Saccharomyces cerevisiae S288C: one gene and its partner. The protein of the gene in region 2 binds, or shares a complex with, the protein of the main gene of each other region. Each region holds a gene or a part of one and is shown on either strand. Other genes may lie near its edges. The genes, in order: SOM1 and IMP2.

Region 1 (2,949 bases), on a different chromosome or scaffold from region 2:
CGACATTTTCAAAATCGCCAAAGTAGCAAGGACAGCAAGCATGTCTGAAATAGCATCTCCCACGGTCTGATTAATCAATTCAGAGAAACACTTCAAAGTTCTCAAAGCTAACGTATCACCATTTAACTTGGACTTGGATAATTCAGATTTGATAGTTCGATGAAATTTTTCGCTGAATATAATCGTACCATGTCCATTTGCTTCGAAATAAATGCCAATATCGTACTGAGTGGCAGCTTCATGATGCAAGTGTTTAACACCTGTCTTAGTGCAAGACACGGGACAGTGCAACGTATTTTTTATGTAAGCGGTGGAACTGCCGTTTGCATAGGCAGTTTGCACAACACCAATCTTCAAAGAATGTTCTAGGTGTGCCAATTCTAGTTGTTTAGACAAGAACTTTGCAAACAAAGTGGAAATTTTGTCACCATCCAACAAATGAAATTTTGATCCTGAGTCGACATAGTAGAACACAACCCTGTCTGCGTCACCATCAAAGGAGCAATATAGCGAATCAAACGAGGATGGAGAAAGACCCTTGGGTAATCTCTGGTTAGTCTTCACATAATCCGCACCGCATTCAAAATTCAACAGTTCTGGAACATCGGACCTGTCGTTGATTACCTCAACTTGCTCCGCTGGCACGTCCCAATCTTCGGAGGCCAGTAGTTTTTTCAACTGTGGACCACCGATACCATTGGCTGTGTCTATGAACAATTTTGGGACAGACAGCCTCTTCTCCAGCTGATACGTGGCGAAGAGCTCGTTGAAGGCTCCTATAAAGAACGAATAGTAGTCCTGTTCTGTGGCAACTGGCGCTGTGTCTCCTTCCAGTTTCCGCCTGTTGGACAAATCAGTAATGTAATGCAATTGAGGCGTAGTGACACAGCCTAGGTCCAAAACTTGCGCGTGGAAGACGCTGGCCATGGAGGAAGTCAAGCAGCGCAGCAAGTATGGACTACTTTCCCTAGAGTCTCTCCCAACCACGATGTGAGGCACGACGGTTGTATTCAAATCAATCTTTTCGTGTTCAATCAGCTTGGCCAACTCAACACGAAATTCTTCAAAATTAGTGGCAAAAGAGGCCGCATTGGCCAACTGCATGGCATATGGCTCCCATGTGGCCAAAAGCATCGATCCGTCTGGTTCCACGATCTTGACCCCGTTGTCCTGGTATGGGTTGTGCGACGCCGTGATCATCACCCCCACATACTGACCCTGAAGCTTCAGCGACCTGAGAACCGCCAGTATACCAGTACTGAACATCACCGTATCCAAATTCTTGGCCAGCGTTCTGAATCCGGCCGTACCGTAACTGAACTGCACATTCTTTGTGCGGCACGTGTCATCGTAGAGTTTGCACAATTGCTCGTAATCAACCTTCATCGTCTCTAAGCTTACTGCTGACCTTTGCCTTGGTCCTTGTACTTGTCTCGATTGCTGAAACCATTAACGGTTTTTTGTTCTTACTTAATCTTTTTTTTCCCGACGACGCAAAATGTCAGAAAAGATATAAATAGAGCAACGTTTCCTGCTACATGAAACACGCTGGCATATAGAAGAACTTCAACGAGCGAGGCTCTCTGAACAATCTGCTAATCGTGCAAGTAAGGGTTCTCGTGACAGTTCACCGTGTATAAACAGATAAACAGATAAACAGTCAGATATGCTTAATTTTTAACTGTAGGCTGTGCCGACATGCCATTTTATGCGGCTCACTTCTAACAAAAGTGACCATGACGCACAAGCAAGCAAACAGCCAAGTAAGGAAGCAGACAGCTTCACAGCACACACACACCGTTGTGTACGAAAATCCTCTGCAGAAGAGTGTATATGCCACTCATCCACACTTCCGCAGCGCAGTACGTAATGCGGTATCGTGAAAGCGAAAAAAAAACTAACAGTAGATAAGACAGATAGACAGATAGAGATGGACGAGAAACAGGGGGGGAGAAAAGGGGAAAAGAGAAGGAAAGAAAGACTCATCTATCGCAGATAAGACAATCAACCCTCATGGCGCCTCCAACCACCATCCGCACTAGGGACCAAGCGCTCGCACCGTTAGCAACGCTTGACTCACAAACCAACTGCCGGCTGAAAGAGCTTGTGCAATGGGAGTGCCAATTCAAAGGAGCCGAATACGTCTGCTCGCCTTTTAAGAGGCTTTTTGAACACTGCATTGCACCCGACAAATCAGCCACTAACTACGAGGTCACGGACACATATACCAATAGTTAAAAATTACATATACTCTATATAGCACAGTAGTGTGATAAATAAAAAATTTTGCCAAGACTTTTTTAAACTGCACCCGACAGATCAGGTCTGTGCCTACTATGCACTTATGCCCGGGGTCCCGGGAGGAGAAAAAACGAGGGCTGGGAAATGTCCGTGGACTTTAAACGCTCCGGGTTAGCAGAGTAGCAGGGCTTTCGGCTTTGGAAATTTAGGTGACTTGTTGAAAAAGCAAAATTTGGGCTCAGTAATGCCACTGCAGTGGCTTATCACGCCAGGACTGCGGGAGTGGCGGGGGCAAACACACCCGCGATAAAGAGCGCGATGAATATAAAAGGGGGCCAATGTTACGTCCCGTTATATTGGAGTTCTTCCCATACAAACTTAAGAGTCCAATTAGCTTCATCGCCAATAAAAAAACAAACTAAACCTAATTCTAACAAGCAAAGATGAAGTTAGAAAATACTCTATTTACACTCGGTGCCCTAGGGAGCATCTCTGCTGCTTTGGTCATCCCAAATCTTGAAAATGCCGCCGACCACCACGAACTGATTAACAAGGAAGATCACCACGAGAGACCCAGAAAAGTGGAATTCACTAAGGACGATGATGAGGAGCCATCTGACTCTGAAGATAAAGAACATGGAAAGTTCCATAAGAAGGGCCGCAAGGGCCAAGACAAGGAGTCTCCGGAATTCAACGGTAAACGTGCAA
Region 2 (3,344 bases):
GTGATCGTATAATAAATCAGGATCATTATCCCAAATTATTCTATCCCGACATATTGATATTGGATGGCGGATACAAAGCTGTTTTTGACAATTTTCCTGAACTATGTTATCCACGTCAGTACGTGGGAATGAACTCACAAGAAAATTTGCTGAATTGTGAACAAGAAATGGATAAGTTTAGGAGAGAATCTAAAAGATTTGCTACTAAAAATAATTCTTTTAGAAAACTAGCTTCCCCTTCAAATCCTAACTTCTTTTATAGAGATAGCCATCAATCTTCAACAACAATGGCATCTTCTGCACTATCGTTCAGGTTTGAGCCGCCTCCGAAGCTGTCATTAAACCACAGAAGAGTCTCTAGTGGTTCATCATTAAATTCAAGTGAGAGTACAGGCGACGAAAATTTCTTCCCCATCTTAAGTAAGTCGTCTATGAGTAGTAACAGTAACCTAAGCACTTCACATATGCTACTAATGGACGGACTGGATACCCCATCATATTTTAGTTTCGAAGATGAGAGAGGCAATCATCAGCAAGTAAGTGGAGATGAAGAGCAAGACGGAGATTTTACTTTCGTTGGTTCCGACCGAGAAGATTTACCCAGGCCCGCAAGAAGATCGTTATTCCCTTCTCTAGAGACTGAAGATAAAAAATGATACTACATGTGCATGAAGTATTATGAAAAAAAGAAGTATATATTCAGGAACCGAACGGCAACAACATCAATACATAAATCACAATCATCTATATTTATTGCATTAGATTAATCACATAATATAAAAAATTTGCATTTGAATACCGGGGTCACTTCTAAATTCATAAAAATAAGCTGATTTTCATTCTAAAATGGCTCTTTTGCTAATGCAGTCTCTACCGGTACTCAGTTTGAGATCCGTTCCCCACCTGGAGGGTGGCCAAACAATTGTTATAGCTTTCCCTATGACCAACCCACTGGAAATGGGGCCAAAAGTATTGCTATCAATCGAATGAAAATAATTGTCCCCTTCGACCCATATGTGTCCCCTGGGCAGGTTCACTTGAGGTTTAGGGTATGGAAACTTCGTGTCAATGGTATCAAACGGTAAACCTTTAACCCTTTTGCAGTAAACTTTCCGAGGGTTTGTAGGAGCTTTGAAAAGGATAATGTCATCTCTAGATAAATTACTTGGGTTCTTGACTCCAAACTTCCAAAGCAGCACCCAATCTGTTGCCAGCGTTTCCGTTTGCGGGTTCAGCGTAGGCTGCATAGAGGTACCTTTAACTTGCGCAATATGGACCACATTATTATTGATTGTTAGAAGTACCGGAACCCATGAAATTGCTATTAGTGTGTTTCGTAAGAATCTTTTTGATGATCCGGCTCGAAACATTACTGTACAGTACAATGCAACAGCTTCATGAATAGCAGCACGCCTTCGTTAACAAGCACCCATCTAGTCATTCAATTAAGGCACTTGTTTTTTCCATTTTTTTCAGTAGCTCGGAACTTAGCCTCGCTCTCCTTCCGAGCTTGATCTTCCACAGTATTTCGATGACATTGGTCTACCCGTAAGTCTGAGCTCCAACGAACAGCCAGAAGCTAAGAAAGCATAAAAAAGAACCGAACCACTTTAAAATCTAGCAAATTTTAACCTTCAATTATATAAAGAGAGATTTATAGCTTTTTATTGCCTGAAACCGTCTATGCTACCTGAATCACCTTCGCACCCTTTTCTACGATATATCCCAACTCTGACATAACTTGCAAAAAGAAGGAAGACACACATTTAATACACCTACTTAGTGCCAAATGAAGACTCAGTACTCTCTAATACGAAAAATTTGGGCACATTCAGTAACAGAATTTCTGAAATCCCAGTGGTTTTTCATCTGTTTGGCTATTTTAATCGTTATTGCAAGATTTGCTCCGAATTTTGCAAGAGACGGAGGGTTAATTAAAGGCCAATATAGTATTGGGTACGGCTGCGTCGCCTGGATTTTTCTCCAAAGTGGCCTGGGAATGAAATCAAGGTCACTAATGGCAAATATGTTAAATTGGAGAGCTCATGCCACTATTCTGGTTCTGAGTTTCCTTATTACCTCGTCCATAGTATATGGATTTTGTTGCGCGGTAAAGGCTGCTAATGATCCGAAAATAGATGACTGGGTACTTATCGGTCTAATTTTGACTGCCACTTGTCCAACAACCGTGGCTTCAAACGTTATCATGACTACGAATGCAGGTGGAAATAGCCTTTTGTGCGTTTGTGAAGTATTCATTGGAAATTTGTTGGGTGCGTTTATTACACCTGCATTGGTTCAAATGTTTACTAACCGCGCACCATTTGCATACGGCAACCCTGCCACTGGAAATGGCATTGGTGCGCTTTATGGCCGTGTTATGAAACAGGTTGGTCTCTCTGTATTCGTACCCTTGTTTGTGGGTCAGGTTATTCAAAATTGCTTTCCGAAGGGTACTGCTTATTACCTGGGCTTTTTGAAAAAATACCATATTAAAATTGGATCTTACATGCTTTTATTGATTATGTTTAGTTCATTCTCAACTGCCTTTTATCAGGATGCGTTTACTAGCGTTTCTCATGTTTGCATCATATTTCTCTGCTTTTTTAATTTGGGAATTTATATATTCTTCACGGGTCTGTCATACTTATGTGCAAGGCCATGGTTCATCCTCAAGCTTTTCCCTCATGAACCAATAGAGGGCAAATCTACAAGATTGTACCGCTATTCGTATAATATCTTTAGGCCTTTTTATTATTCAAAGGAAGATGCGATTTGCATTATGTTTTGTGGCCCGGCTAAAACTGCAGCACTGGGTGTATCACTAATTACTTCACAATACGGCGATAAAAAAGAACACCTGGGTAAGTTGTTGGTTCCCTTGGTTTTATATCAAGTTGAGCAAGTCATGACGGCAAATTTCTTTGTAAGCTTGTTCAAAAGATGGATACAAAAGGACGCTCAAGCAGACGGAAGCGAGTCATCTTGTGCAAATGAGAATGAGGAAGTTGATTTGGAAAAGATCATATCAATTGGAACTGGTGAAAATCAATCCGTTCTGTCGAACAACGTCCCATATACACAACCAAGGTGATATTTCCCTTGTTAATTTTGCATGAATTCTATATATTACATAACGTTTATGTATATATTTCCCATCCTCATTGGATGGAAAAAACTAAACAGCACATATTCACACGGATTTTGGATACACGAAGCATCTATCACGTATTCTTAAAATTGCACGTCCCAAAGAGCAGCCGGTCCTTTCATATTATACTTTTCTCTTGTGATATAAAATGTATCTTTAGGATGAGTGAAAATTTGCTTAGAAACAATTTGGG

Evidence for each region.
Region 1: IMP2 (region 2) and SOM1 share a complex: the UniProt entries of both Saccharomyces cerevisiae proteins name them as parts of the mitochondrial inner membrane peptidase (IMP) complex.

What each region holds. Positions count from the first base shown.
Region 1 is NC_001137.3:41,689-44,637, reverse strand, and holds SOM1 (Som1p), read left to right. Parts: upstream 1-2,013; coding exon 2,014-2,238; downstream 2,239-2,949. Other genes in the region: phosphoacetylglucosamine mutase PCM1, read right to left, coding at 1-1,386; HHY1 (Hhy1p), read right to left, coding at 1,678-1,986; PRB1 (proteinase B), read left to right, coding at 2,685-2,949. UniProt on the Saccharomyces cerevisiae protein: Non-catalytic component of the mitochondrial inner membrane peptidase (IMP) complex. IMP catalyzes the removal of signal peptides required for the targeting of proteins from the mitochondrial matrix, across the inner membrane, into the inter-membrane space.
Region 2 is NC_001145.3:339,168-342,511, reverse strand, and holds IMP2 (endopeptidase catalytic subunit), read right to left. Parts: upstream 1,371-3,344; coding exon 837-1,370; downstream 1-836. Other genes in the region: putative tyrosine protein phosphatase MIH1, read left to right, coding at 1-656; RCH1 (Rch1p), read left to right, coding at 1,790-3,094; ARP9 (Arp9p), read right to left, coding at 3,235-3,344. UniProt on the Saccharomyces cerevisiae protein: Catalytic component of the mitochondrial inner membrane peptidase (IMP) complex. IMP catalyzes the removal of signal peptides required for the targeting of proteins from the mitochondrial matrix, across the inner membrane, into the inter-membrane space.